Linked DNA regions of Astyanax mexicanus. The protein of the gene in region 1 interacts with the protein of each later gene in a pairwise test. Links are inferred from orthologs where the notes say so. Each region holds a gene or a part of one and is shown on either strand. Other genes may lie near its edges.

Evidence for each region.
Region 2: the proteins of wdr6 (region 1) and g2e3 interact in a two-hybrid assay, tested with the Homo sapiens proteins (2 studies listed by BioGRID and IntAct). The two-hybrid records come from large-scale screens. The link is inferred for Astyanax mexicanus from reciprocal best matches to the Homo sapiens genes WDR6 and G2E3.

What each region holds. Positions count from the first base shown.
Region 1 is NC_064419.1:49,950,674-49,958,434, forward strand, and holds the start of wdr6 (WD repeat-containing protein 6), read left to right. Parts: upstream 1-4,592; 5' UTR 4,593-4,664; coding exon 4,665-4,665; intron 4,666-5,108; exon of another isoform or gene 5,109-5,241; intron 5,242-6,710; exon of another isoform or gene 6,711-6,884; intron 6,885-7,761. Other genes in the region: fibrinogen silencer-binding protein, read right to left, coding at 621-694, 969-1,071, 2,631-2,945. UniProt on the Homo sapiens protein: Together with methyltransferase FTSJ1, methylates the 2'-O-ribose of nucleotides at position 34 of the tRNA anticodon loop of substrate tRNAs. Required for the correct positioning of the substrate tRNA for methylation.
Region 2 is NC_064421.1:45,549,172-45,557,170, reverse strand, and holds the start of g2e3 (G2/M phase-specific E3 ubiquitin-protein ligase), read left to right. Parts: upstream 1-4,940; 5' UTR 4,941-5,394; coding exon 5,395-5,446; intron 5,447-5,579; coding exon 5,580-5,677; intron 5,678-6,327; coding exon 6,328-6,429; intron 6,430-7,382; coding exon 7,383-7,507; intron 7,508-7,999. UniProt on the Homo sapiens protein: E3 ubiquitin-protein ligase which accepts ubiquitin from an E2 ubiquitin-conjugating enzyme in the form of a thioester and then directly transfers the ubiquitin to targeted substrates. Essential in early embryonic development to prevent apoptotic death.

The DNA.
Region 1 (7,761 bases):
GTACAATATTTAGTTACAAAACATAAGCAGAAAATATTAAATAAAACAATATTATTTAAAAGAATGACACACGACAACATGATGAAGAGTGATGATAAAAAATAATCAATTAAAATAAATAATGATGGCTATCTGCAAATAATATTGATGACATTCAAAATCTAAATCTGCAGTTTCGCCTGTCACAATAACTTTTATATATCCATATTTTTATTTTAAGACCATTTTAGTGGCCTTAAACATTTAATTATTAAGAATATTTAGACTTTTCAGACTACTTAGAATTGAAATGATGCTCACGAAGCAGAAAAAAGTGACACAATAACTGTGAATAATATATGATAAACATCATTAATATCATTTATATAATTGCCAATTGATTTATGTTAAAATTAATATTCATCAAACTGTTGTTGCTCAAATATGTTAAATACTGAAATCATCTTTAATACATTTAAAATCTTTTTTTCTGAGTATGTTCTGAGCATCAGTATTCTGGGAAATATTTAATTTTACTATATTAAACAGCATATAAACTAAACAGACTCACTAGTTATAAATATGAACAGATGTAACAGAAGCAGTTTTAGTGGTATGGAGTGGAGAACGAACACACTGACATCAAACTGCTGATAATGCATTACATCATTTTGGTCCAGATCCTCTGGCTCGTTCCCATTGGTCCCTCCGATCCCTGGAAAAAAGACAAACAAAACGAAAAAAACGTGATAAACTTATATAAATATATTTTTGCCTTTGCTGATAATTTATGGTGTAACAGATAACCGACAATCAGTGATCTGTCCAAATCTCCCTCCTGCCCCGCCCCTAAACCCATACATCACTCAGTCACCCAGTGACTTCATCGCAACGTCACTTTGTTTTAAGATCGTGTAGCCCTAATAAACACCACAGACAGGATGCACCTGGATATCTGAGGAGGAACAGGTGAGACAGGTGGAGTTTACCTGGCCCCGGGGAGCTGTTTGTGACGACGTAGCTCCCGTCTCCATCCACATCCTCCAGGTTAGTGATCAGGTTCGGCACCAGAGCCATCACTTCTCTCTGCACCTGCAGGAAACGGGGAAAAGAGAGTATTAAGAAATAGGCTTTAAAGAAACTTTAACATTTATTTTATTTATCTACAGTGTCTCATGTATAATATGTATAAAATGCTGTAAAATAACAGTGCCTTCAGACTTTTGGAGAACAAACCAACACCTGTTATCCTTTTTAATTCAGATAGAATTTAGAGAATTTAAGCTAATCTTTATTTATTTTATTAGTTTTAAAGTAATACATGTGTAATATCAGATATCTGCTCAGAATTCCCACAAATCAATTAATCAATAAATCAATTAACCTTTATTTAGTCTCAGATTTAAATTGAAACTAAACTGAAACGGAGAATCACCTCATTTTAAATGTAGCTGAATATTTAATATTGAATGAAGAAAAACTAAAAATTAAAATAAAGTTTATGCGAGCGCTGCACTTATGGTGGTCAGTGTGTATCTGTGTTATAAATCAGGTCAAACTTTTGGAACTGGTCCGAGACCAAAAAGCAAAAAAAGCAAATTAAAGCTCTATCTGGACGGGATGATTTTCTCAGTGTAGCATCTGTGTTAAATATTTCACACTTCTACTCTTTAGTGATTAAAACTCCTGCATCCGGGCTGCAATTGAATAAAAAGGAGGACCAGTGAGTTTTTAGGCTTTAGTTTTTCTCGGTCACATGACATCATCACGGCGTTCAGTAGCTCCTCCATTTCCACTCGCTGTTGTGTTTTTCTTACGTGGATCTCCATGGAAACTATTGCGCGTCCAAAATGTAATTACGGTGCGCGGCAGTGGACAAATATCTATTTTATTAAAAGTGAGGAAACGAAACTCAGAGATGTGCGTCCGGACAGGACTAAAATTACCGGAGGAGCACGGAGTTCAGAGAAAAACAGTAGATAATTCAGCCTGTAATTTTCTCAGAGGACGTCCGAGAAAAACACGTACACTGTAAACCCGTACGTTTGTTTGAACTCAAATGATTTAAGTCTGTTTTACATAAAATTGGATTTTTCTAAACAATACTCAACTATTTTGAGTTACTGTACTATTCAAACTGAGGACTTTGAGTTGAACCAACTTATAATAACTGAGTTTAGTCTGTTTTGCCATCAACAGTTTCTTTTCTATTGGCTTCTTTCACACTCTATTTGCATACTGGGCGTGTCCAACAGTTTCTGACAGACACTCACCATCAGTGTGTAGTGATTCCCCCCCTGGGCTACCTTACAAATAAATCAACTTCCCCTTTAGTTGTAAGACCTTAATGTTTTAATTTATAATAACTCAAAAAAATTGAGAAAATCAGCTGCCTTAAAAAAAAGTTAGGTAAACTCAACTTATCTGGTTCTTACATATATGCTAAATGAAGTTTTTATTACCCATTACTTAACTTTTTAAGTCTCAATTTTTTTAAGTAAATTTAACTTATCCGGGCTTACAGTGTACATGGTTGTTCTGGACAGGAATAAAATCACAGAGGATAAAAACTATCCCAAAACCCCCTGAGAAACTAATTCCATCCAGATAGGGCTTTAGAGATGTATTTAATAAGACGGTAGTGACTGTACCTGTGTGAGGGCGGTGAGCGGCATCCCCGACGCCTGCTGCTCCTGCCGCCTCTGCAGCGCCACCCGGCACTCCACCTTCAGCCTCTTCCACAGGGTTTTGAGGGAGCCCACGCTGCTGGGCGGCCGGTTGGGGAAAGCCTCGTTGAAGGCCTGGGCGAGTTCGGCCCACACAGCGTTCCGGTACACAGTGGTGTTGGTGTCTTTACGGAAGTCCTGCACGGCGTCCACCACGCTGTGGATCTTCTGCAGCAGGTAGAGCTTCTGCTCCAGAGTGAAGTTGGGCATCCTGTACGTCATGGTGGTGAGCATCTTCATTTGCGATGTGTGTGAATATGAGAGTGTGTGTGTGTGTGTGTGTGTGTGAGGAATGCTGTTGGTATAAAGTCAGGAAGGATCACACACAGAGGAATAAGGCTGCTGGTCAGTCGACTCGTTCATGGAGTTCTAACCTGGTATACAGAAGCGTCCATTTACGTCCAAAAGTACAAAATGTTCTATATGCTATAAACGCTACATAACAGAAGTTATGGGGTTATGTATTCATCACAGGTCTGTTGTGAATTTGGTCCCTTCGATAAGCGTTAAGTCACATTTGATGCGACATACTTAAAAAAGAAAAAGAAAAAAAACTACAAAATATATAAACTATATTTTAAGAAAATAACAAAAATATAAGTTTAAGACTCTGTGTGTGTAAGGCTGCTCGGTCAACAACGGCAACATCCACACGGTGGGCCTGCTGTCCGTCGACGCATCCGGGATCTGAGGGGAAAAATAAAGATAAAAATAAATACTTATTAAATATCTTTTGACATAATAAGTAAGTTGTAAGTTTTCTTTATTTTTTTAATTATTATTTTTTTTACCACTGAACAAATTAAATAACCTTAATGAATTTCGCTATCTAAAAACTACAATTAACAATATTTATTGAACAAAAAAAAAAAGAAAATCATAAAATGGGATAAATATTCATTATTCCCCATTTTTGTAAAAGTGAAATAAAAAACTAGAACCCTGGAAAATAACTTTTTTTTTTTCTTCACTAAACCAAATGGAAAAAACACGTGAAGCATATATAGCAGATACATGGTTCATGTAGTCAGTCTCTCTGTAAGTTATAAATGTGTAATATCACTATCTGTTTATATGTGCGTTTTATCAGATACCGGTAGATATGCATATTTTACTGGCTATCAGTAGATATATACATTTTATCGTTTATCGGTAGATAATACACATTTTATCAGATATTGGTATATATATATATATATATATATATATATATATATATATATATATATATATATATATATATATATTTTTTTTTTTTTTTTTTTTTATAGAGATTTTATTGGATATAAAAGTAGACACACATTTTATTGGTTATCAGTAGATATACACATTTTATAGTATGTCGGTAGATATATAAATTTTATCGGATAGCAGTAGATATATACATTTTATCGATTTTGTCATATACTGGTAGATAATACGCATTTTATCAGATATCGGTAGATATGTTACATATTTTATCGGGTTAAACTGTCAAATTCTGTAATAATTGTGAGTATTAGTGGGTAATAACTGAGCGCTGTTAGGAGGAATTCTGCTGCTGTAAGTGATCAGCTCTCTGTTTCTCTACTGTTTTATTAATTTACTGCGGGTTTTTTTCTGTTACTGTGTTAAACTGTGTTTATTTAAAGGTAAAAATACAAAAAACAAGCCTTATATTAGAAGATGCTCCCAGCAGAAGTGTATGTAGGATCGTTAAATAGCTTAAATCACTGTATCACAGTAAAATGAAGGTATAGATAAGATAATACTTTATGAGTCCCACAGTGGCGGAAATTCACAGTATTATATGATATACACATTTTATCGGTTTATCGTGTATTGGTAGATATACACATGTTATCGGTTATCGGCATCGGCTCAGACTTCCTGAATCAGTGCATCCCTACAGAACAGGAGTAAGTTGCAGCAGGAGAGCAGGAGAAAAGCGGGAGTTTGAACAGGATATAACAGTGTTACAGTGAGTAAATCTGCAGTGTATAATGTGTATATTCTGAGGTAAACGCTGAGAGAGTGTTTACAGCTGAAGCCCTCAGCCCGAGACTAGGTTTAATCCCTCTGTCTGCCCGCTGTCTCCCTCCCACACATTGATCTCAGCTCAGATTTATATTAATATCATTATTACACTGTAATAAATATGATATTACACATTAATGCGCTGATTCTGATGCAGTTTCGGGGTTTTAGCGCCTCTAAAAGCCTCAAAACCGCAACTTTAGCCCGTCTGTTTAGCCCGCTTAGCCTGTTAGCCGTTAGCCGCGCTGCTAAACCGCTGCACCGTATTAGCGGGTTAGAGACTAGGATTAGGGCTAACGCTAAGGCTAACATTTCCCCGCGCGCCCAAACACACCGAAAACACCCCACGAGCCCCGCGCTGCAGCCCGCGCGCCCCGGTACACTCACCTGCACGCGGAACGATTGAACTCCGCTATAAATGATACTTTGTTGCTCCCACCCCTTTATGTTTGAGCGGCCCGCACCAAATTCAAACAACAGAGAGCTGCTCTGCGCAGCGGCCGCAATCTGCGTAACCGGGGGAGCGGGGCAGCGGCGCGGTGCGCATGCGCTGCGCAAATCCCCGGATCTACAGATCATACCCGCCTGGGATTCACTAACACTGCGCGGAGCAGATGATCTATAGATCTGCGTCTGAGTGCCGCCGAGACTCCGCTCATAATAATAAACAGCCGGAGAGATATTCCTTTATTCTTATTACTACGCTGTAACACGCTGCTCTCACACCATATATATACACCCGGCAGATAAAACGAATAATAATCTGGATATATTCTTCCTTTTATTCGTTTTTTTAACATTCGTTATTGAATGTAATGTAAAAAAGAACATAATAACCAGAAGTTTAAAGAGAATAGTTTTTTTTTTTATTGAAAGTAACAAATTATGTCCAAAAAATCATTAACATTCCCATTGGATAAACTATAAAAACTTAATTTCTTCAAAAAAGTCAGATACCACATTACAAAATTGCAATTACTAAACCCTTAGAATTGTTCATTTGTATGTTTAATAACCCCCCCCCCCCAAAAAAAAAAAATCTAAAAAGCAATGATGGAATATTTAAGCAAACATATGAAGGAAAGAATGGACGCATTGTGTGTCTATAGATAGACATTTTTCCTTTCTTTCTTTTGTTGTTTATAACTAATTATATGTGTTTTAGAGGCAAGTGTTTTAGAATACATTTTACATTGTATTTCTATATTACATCAATTGAACACATTATATTACACAATCCAATAAAAAAATAAAAACAATGCATTCCCATAGAACTGCAATAAAATAAATATATAAACTAATTGGAGTGCAAAGAAAAATAGAAATAGATTTTAAAACATTTTAAATATTTATTGTGAAATTTGCACATTGACCAAATTGCTGATATTTAAGAATTAAAATTGTATGTGTTAATAGCAGCTAAGAAATATATTTAAAAATGTTTTTATTTAATTATGAAATTGCATATTTAACACAATTGCTGATATTTAAGTATAATATAAATGTTCATAGCAGCTGAAAAATATATTTACACTTTTTATATATTTGAATATTTTATTGTGATTAAAATATATAATATATTTTTGGGTTATGTGATGTAGGTGATATCTTAATTTAAATTTTGCATTTTAAATATTTGTTTACTACGCCACCGCCATAAACATAACCTAAAAGAGAGAAAAGTCTCCAATAACTGATAATTATATATTATACAAAAAAGTATTAGCATGATAAATAACCTACATAATACAAGATAAGAATACATTTCTAAAAAGTTTAGACAAAATATGATTATATGTGTTCTCCAGTCGTGTTAATTTTGAAATTGTGTAATTTGTTAATTTACTTTAAAGAAATGTAACGTAAAAGAAATACTGTAGAAATATAATGTTTAAAAGTCCTCCAGTAGGAGCGCTTTGATCTACAAAGGGGGCGGGACGCTTCAGTATGCTGGGCTGTGATTGGTCAGAGCTTTCGGTTGTGCGGAAGTTACCCGGATAAACACACATGTCTGCCCGCAGTGAGACACGCTGGTGCTGAATATAAAGAGAATTGAGTTAAATTCTGTAATAATTCGGATTATTTAGTTTATATATTTGTGTGTATGGAGTTGTGAGTATTAATAGGTAACAACAGAGCGCTTTTAGGAGGAATTCTGCTGCTGTAAGTGATCAGCTCTCTGTTTCTCTACTGTTTTACTGATTAACTGAGTGGTTTCTGTGTTAAACTGTGTTACTCTGGTGATTATTTAAAGATAAAAACACAATAAACAAGCACTATATTAGAACATGCTCCCTGCAGTAGCGTAGGTAGGATATTTAAATAGCTTACAAATCTGTATCACAGTAAAACTAATGTAATGCAATGTATTTTATCTACCTTAACAGTACAATATATACAATATAATATAAATAATAATAAGTAAAGAAATCTTAAGACTGCATTTACAAACAACTGCACATTGCCTCTTGGTTGCACAGAGTAATGGAACAATATTGTACATTATGTTACACATAGAGGTGATTGGAAACAGTCTTTTATGCTATATTATAGTTTAATAATTTTAATAAAAACACTGAAGCAAATAATGAAAAAAGCTCAGGTTGTTTGATGCACCCAAAAAAAGCCAAATTATCATTAAAAACAGAAAAAACATAAAATGATTAAATAATAAAACATGAAATAATTGGCAGATAAATTGTTAGATTTTTAAAAGTATTTAATTTGTAATTTTTGCAAAAGATTTACACCTAAAATGGGACTTATGTTTCTTCACTCAACGTTTATGAATGAATAATTTCTCTAAAAGTACCAACAACTAACTTTATTGCAAGCAGTTAAATATGCAGAATGTTGATTAGTCAGCATTACCGCAAAGCCTGAGGATTGTGGGTAATGTAGTGAGAAAGAGATAAGATACAACTGTAAAAAATGAAGAGATCACTTCAGTTTCTGAATCAGTTTCTCTGATTCTGCTATTTATAGGTTTATGTTTGAGTAAAATGAACATTGTTGTTTTATTCTATAAACTACAGACAAC
Region 2 (7,999 bases), on another chromosome or scaffold:
CAGGCCTGTTACAAACTGGACAAAAAGATCAGCAGAAATTATCTATGTCCCTGTTTACACCTTGTCACTTTATGTGACTATCTGGATCTGGATTATTTTCTAATAAGGATAATAAAGCCACATGCATGCTCCAGCTGAAATCTGATTGCTGTGTGGAACAGAATGTACACATTCATTGTCTTATTGCACATCAGTTATTACTGTTGTTTTGGTTTTACTGAGAGGAATTATGGTTGTTTGGTGTGTCTTGGAGAGATGGATGCTATTAACATCATGCATCATGGGTAGACCTGTCATGAAACAAATTTTTTTGTGTTTAAAAAATTTCTTCCCTGAAATTATTGCAATAAACGATATTATTGTCATTTTAAGACCATTAAATGTTACTAATACAATGATAATTCAGCTCTGGAAATAAGAGACTGCCTAATGCTGCTGTTTTTCCTTGATTTTACCAAAATGAAAACCTCTGGAATATAATCAAATAGAAGATGGATGATCACAAGCCATCAAACCACCAAACTGAACTGCTTGAATTTTTGCACCAGGAGTAAAGCAGCATAAAGTTATCCAAAAGCAGTGTGTAAGACTGGTGGAGGAGAACATGATTCCAAGATGCACGAAAACTGTGATTAAAACCAGGGTTTCTCTTCCAAATATTGATCTTTGCATTATTTGAGATCTGAAAGCTCTGCATCTTTTTTTTGTTATTTCAGCCATTTCAAGTTTTCTGCAAATAAATGCTCTAAATGAGAATGTTTTAATTGGAATTTGGGAGAAATGTTGTCTGTAGTTTATAGAATAAAACAACAATGTTGATTTTACTCAAAAATATACCTTTTAATGGCAAACTTTATTTTTTTCCAGAGCTGTATAATCGCATAACAAAGCAGTTAAACCCTTTTAAAGACAACTTTTTTAAAATAATGACTAGCTAAAATACTTTTACTGTTTATTTATATATGTGAACAACCATAAAAACAAACAAAATATATCATACCACCATTATCAAATATTATTAAGGCCATGGTATTTTATTGTACAATTAGAGAATAATGGTGTAGCTAGTAAAATTATATTTGACCCCTCCGTATATTTAATTATATTGTGCCCCCCTGATGGCCTATTACTCAGAAAAAAACCTAGATGCACCACTGCAGTGTGAACAGAGCCTATAACCACCTCCTGAAATGGTTTGAGTTTTTAAATCAGATTTGTATCTGTTTTAAATGCGTCTTGGGTGTGTTTATACTTGGATTTAATGTGGTTTGTCCTAATTTAGATATAATTCTAATACTCAAGATGCATAGTGTAAATAGTGACCAAGTGTAAATAGGATCTAAAATTCAGTGCTGCCCACAGAATGCCAGCTGTTCTGTAAATTTGTCTGACTACATTAAGTATAAAAAATTATACATATAAACAAATATTATCGCATACATAATAACAGCTACACCTCTGCATCCTCTGCTTAAAATACTTTCCGGCAGCTACAGCTGAGACGTACTGTGTGGGAGGGTATTTCTCTTCAGGATCGAGGGTAAACATGTGGTTCACTGATCGTATCCTCTTTCTAACTAACTTTGGTTTCAGCCAAACAGAAGCACCTGACTGGTTTCACAGCGTTTAGCTTTGAAAGACCCATAAAGCGTATCAGAAGGTGATACGCTAGATCCCGGTAGCACATCTGGCTGGGCAAATGCAGGCATGACCAACAGCAGCCAAACAGTGGCATCCTGCCACCATCTGAGTGCTGCCAAAAGTGCGACAGAAACTATTATGCTGTGTGCTACACAGAGTCTTCCTGTTGCCAGAAGGAATCTTTTTCTGTCAAATCCTATTCTATCACATGTCTCAAGTCCTTTGTGCTCATAGTTGTACTTCTGATATAAAACTTAAAGCTGAGTAAAGCTGAGTAAACTTGAGTAAAGCCGATTTTTTTATTCAGATTTCCACTCAAATTTAATATGGTAACAAGCCTAATAGGAGTAAGAAAGCTTTGCAAAATTTAAATATGGTCACCAATTTTTTTTTCATATTTCTAAATTTTGGATCTAATCTGATTACTGTTATATAATTAAATGATGCCTTTCTTTTAACTTTACGATACTTTTCTTATAATTACTGTAAGGTTTCCTGTTATTAATAAAGTGTGTCATATTATCATATGATTATTTAATGATATTTATTTTTTTTGTTATGAATTATTCATTAATTATTATTTACGGTGAGGGAAGTAAGTAAAAACTATAAACTATGACTATACTGACAGAATAAACACACATTTCACACTCAGCAGTGAAGTGTGAACACTGTGATCTACTGTGCCTTTACCACCATCTACTGGTTTGTGTTGACAGTACTGAGGTTGCAATAAGATTTAATGGTTATGCTGGTTATGCACACTCTTGGAGTTATGGAATTTTTGGTGAGAAGGTTCCTCACACCTTGTAATATTAGGCTAGACAATATGTATGTGCGATATGGCCCTAAAATAATAAATAATAATATTTCATGGCATTTTCTGTGATAACGATTCTCTTGGAGATATGTCAAAACAATTAATAAGAATTCAAATTCATGAATACACTACTGCAACAAAATTAAAAAAAATAATTGTATTATTGCATATGATATGATATAGCAAGAGATAATGTCACAGGACTGTGACACAAATATTTTGATTGCAGATTTATTGTGTCTTTCTATGCAATTTTTTTTTTTTTGGGGGGGGTTGTATATTTTTTGCATTATTTTATATATCTAGCAGATTGTTACATGCAACTTGCTGTTCAAGCAATGTCAAATGCTGCCCTCTTGCTGTGAATTGAAGTGATTTACCAATCATTTAGAATGTAGTTAAGTAAGCAGTGAACTATGTTAGATGGGTAGGACAGTTCAGCAGAGTAAAGTATAATACATGTTATGACAAAAGTGGAAAATGTGGAAATCAGCAGAGAGATAAAATAAAAAAATAATTTGCTGGATCATGACATAGCATTTGCTATTTAAATAAAATTAATAAGATACATGGCTGCTGTGATGTGCACAAGACACACAGACAGACTAACTCATTCTAAGTTACTTAATTACTTGACTGACAGGCTGACGGATTTTCTCACAATCACTTTACTGACAGATAGATAAACAGAAAGACAGACAGAAAAATAGACTGGCTGACAGACAGGAAGACTGACTGACTGACTCACTCACTAACTCACTCACACTCACTTGGCTGACAGACAGACAGACAGACACACTGACTGACTGACTGACTGACTGACTGTCCCACTCACACTCACTCGCTTAACAGACTGACAGACTGAATGGCCCACTTACTGACTCATTCACACTCACTAAACTGACTGACTCACTAGACAGACAGACAGACAGACTGATTCACCCACTCACACTCACTCACTTAACAGACTGACAGTGGGCCATTCAGTCTGTCAGTCTGTTAAGTGAGTGAGTGTGAGTGGGTGAATCAGTCTGTCTGTCTGTTCTTCTGTTTGACTGATTCACCCACTCACAATCACTCACTAAACAGACTGACACACTGAATGGCCCACTAACTGACTCATTCACACTCACTAAACTGACTGACTCACTAGACAGACAGACAAACAGACAGACAGACAGACTGATTCACCCACTCACACTCACTCACTTAACAGACTGATTGACTCACTTACTGACTCACACTCACTTACTCAACTGACAGACAGAGAGACAGACTGACTGACTGGCTGGCTGGCCCACTTACTGACTCACTCACACTCACTTAACTGACAGACAGACTGACAGACAGACTGACTGACTCACACAGTCACACTCACTAACTTAACAGACTGACTCACTTACTGATTTGCACACTTACGTAACTGACAGTCTTACGTAACTGACAAACTGTCAATCTGAAGATCTGAAATTCAGTTAATACTAACTAGTTAGTAAGTTCTCTTGAAATTATACCTTTTTACAGTCTGACAGTATAACCTACAATTCAAAGTTATATTATGGGTTTATTTTACCTAAGTGGAATTCAAGCTTTTCTTTCAGCTCTTAATTTATTAGGGTTTGGTGCTGGCCTAGAGTGAGGAGACCCAACCAATATGGCGGTGACGCTCCAGCCCGTAACGAGGCGTCTGCGTATATTATTATGTCTATGGGCGTCAGCCGGCCGCCATATTGGAGGAGTCAACCATGCGCCTCTAGCGCATTAATTTGTACTGAAGAAGGTGTTTATTACACCTATAATAATCATAACGATTTACCCAATTATGTGTGTATTGATGTATATATAAATATAAAATGAATTTATTTATACACTTATTAATATGCCATACCACATGTCTATCTTTGTTAAAAAATTTAATAAAAAGTATTGCAGCATGAAAGCACGTAGCTGTTATTTGTGATGTGTGACAGCGTCCTGAATCATAACTACATCTATGCCGTTTGTAACAAACCAAACCGTGTGAACATTGGGTAATAATTGGTAGAGTTGTGATTATTATAGCTGTATTAAACACCTTACTCCGTACAAATCAGAGACTGTAAAAAATATATATACAGTCTATGGTACAAATAAATGCACTGGGGGAGCATAGTTGACTCCTCCAATATGGCGGTCGGCTGCTACGCTGCACATGTACACATGTCTAATATGGGGGTCAGTACCTCTTGAACGAACCAGAGCACAGTAGAGGGCGGGGTTAGATGTGGGCGGGGTTATATGTATAACCCCGCCTCCTATAGGCTGCAGCGAGACATACATGTGGGCCGTCCTCTGGCATAACCTCAGTTCTCCTCGCTCTGTGGCTGTTATTATTTGAATGAACCAATCAGGAGCGAGCTGGGCGGGGCTTCATCGGCAGAGGGATTTTCGAAAACAGAGGATTGATTTGTGAAGCGGAGAGCGGAGAGAGCCCTTTAATTTCTGGATTTTTAGTGGAATCGGCTTTATTTTGGAACCAGGAGAAGAGCGGTCTGGAGCCTGAGCTGTGCTGAGCGGTAGATTTATCGAAAGCGAGCTGACTTGAGGCGATGCGAGCTTTATTACACAGACTAGTAAAGTAATTTAACGTTAAAGACCCAGACCAGACCCAGATAACTAACTTAGATTATTAGCGTTATATATATATTAAACTACAGAGGCGGCGGAGAGCTAACGTTACAGGTTATTACTGTTACTGTTAGTTATAAAGAGGAGGATGATCAGGTTTTTATTAACTGTTATTGAGTGTGAGAATCACGAGGCCAAGAATAAACGTTAAAGTTGCCTACTGTAACTTTTTGTATTTTTATATGTTAGTGAATTTTAACGTGTAACGTATTTTGGACAACATTTAAACAGTCAGCTGTCGCTCGTTTAACGATAAAAGTCTAAAAATGAGGAAGACAAAGAAGTGTGCTGAACGACTGGTGGGCTCTGTCAACGACGGTAAGTTAGACTAACGTTCATTCTTCGTTTAATTCCATTAACGTTAAATAAAACATAATGTATGTTTTATAGTTAACTATTTAGCAGGAATTGAACGTTAAGCTCAAGCTGTGAACACTGCTTTGTTCTTTAGTTTGTCAGCTCTGCAATCGACGTGACAACTGTCCAGACAAATATGGAGAGAAGTTCACCCTTAAAAAGCACAACATCACCGTCCATTATTTCTGCCTGGTGAGTAATGCTAGCATAGCTAGCTTAGCTAACTAGTTAGCTTAGCTGGGCTATTAAAAACAAACATTTTGAAGTTACTGTTAAGCCTCTGTGGCTTGAATGTTGTTTTATTTGCCTAAAAAGAGGCCTGGCTAATGTTGTCCTGAGGCACCAAACCAAAAAAAATGAAACCATGTCATAAATGTCATTTATAACCTGTTTGTTTAATTATACATTGATGCACATGTACACAATTTATTGTTTTAATATTTACACTGTTCAGCGTTTAATTCAAACATGTTATAACATTTATATTCATTGTATTAACTACTGGTTTCACAGACCATGTGGCTTGTGTTGATAACAAAAAGGTTAGCTAGCTACTCCAACAAGGCTTGTATTATGACAACTAACTGTATGTCAGTGTCAGTAGTGTTCTGAACTAATGCTACTGTGGGAATTTGTGTTTGGTTGATAGATTATATATTTGTTGTAACTATTCTTATTGTATGTTTATCGTATATATATATTATACTGTTGGAAAGCCTGTTAATTTCCCTTTTAAATGGAGCCGCATTTGACAAATCGTCTCGGCCATTGCCAAACAACTTATGTTTATGTTGATTTTGCTTCTGTTTGCTATGTTTATATAACCGCTTTCCTGTTGACAGCTGATGTCCAGTGGAATATTCCAGAGAGGAAAAGAGCATGAGGGTATTCATGGCTTTCTTGTAGATGACATAAAGCAGGAGATTCGCAGATCTTCCAGACTGGTAAATAAACACTTTAACCCAAGTATGATTTTTTTTTTTGGTCACGTTGAGGATGTAGTAACTGGATGTAACTGACAGTTTGTTTTGGTGAGCCTAGCTAAATATTAAACATGCACTACATTGCCATGGTGTTTGGTGATGAGACTTGAATAGAATTGCTTGGCCCTGGAAACCCATTCCATGAAGCACTTTTAATGTTCTTGAGCTACTCTGAAGGCCACATAAAGATTGGAGGTCTGTAGCGATTTACTCTGCAGAAAGTTGGCGACCTCTGCACAGTAGTACCCTGCACTGTCATTTTATGTCATTTTGACACCTTGGAATAATAGCACAACTGGATTTAGCAGTCTGCATGTCTGGGTGCTTGGTTTTAAAAACCTGTGGCCATGGAAGTGACTGGAACCTGAGTTCAATGATGGGTGAACGAAAACTTTTGACAATGTATTGCATGTTTTTTGATACGAGTCAAAGAACAGTATTTCAGAGCAATATACACTGTCAAAAGACATGAGCTACTATTGTGTTTTTTGAATTTTGTTATGTCCCATGGAAGATAACAAACCCTTCACTTAACTAGATGCCAATGTTCATGATCTTTATTGCCCACTGTGCTGCCCTCTGTGTGGTACTGCCTCATATGACACAGTGGAGGAATATCAAATGCCTGCAATCCATCTGGCACCCACTTTCAGACCTTGATAATTCACATCCCTTTGTTATAAACATTCTGGCAGGAGTTTCTGGCCTAACTCACTCACAATATTACACCTCACAACTTATACAGGTGTGGTAGTTCCCAAGCCACCCCTGCAGTAGCACTTCATGATCAGTTTACACAATGCTATCCCCTGATTTTTAAATGTTAATGTTGAATGCATGTTGTGTATAATGTAGGTATCTTTTTGTATGAGAAATACCCCCCAACTCTCTCTTTTTTTCCCCTGCTTATGCAGAGGTGCGTTGCCTGTAAAAAGGTTGGTGCTTCGGTAGGATGCTTTATTAAAAGCTGCAGACAGATGGTCCACATGCCTTGTGGAGTTGAGCAGCAGTTTATCTTCCAGTTCACTGACTCTTTCCCGTAAGTATATTGTTGGTACATTCAGACCAAACTGCACTTTCCTCTTTTTCTGATAAAATCTGTGACATAATGTAGTCATCACTTGAAAATGTGAGATCAGACATGGTACACGTCAATTATGCTGCCTCTGTAAAACTCTCTTTTTTACAAGCTACATGATTAATAGAACATAGCTTGGTGTCATGAATTGTCCCACCTGTTCTGACCTCCATCTAAGTACTGGTAAAATCTGTGCTTTTCCAAATACACCAGTATCTGGCATAACCACCTGTTAAGCTAAGTAAATAAAACTGTAATTCTTAGAAAAACATTTTCTTTTAAAGTCTAATGAGTGCTGAATGTTAATCTACACAGATTTCTCTCCTGCAAACTGTTTATTTGGGGGAGTAAAGCCCCTCAGTTTATTTACAGTAAGCTAAGATTTCCAGATTTCCAATAAGGCTGTGTGCAGCAGTATTAGCATTAGCAGATAACCACTAGTGCTAGCCACAG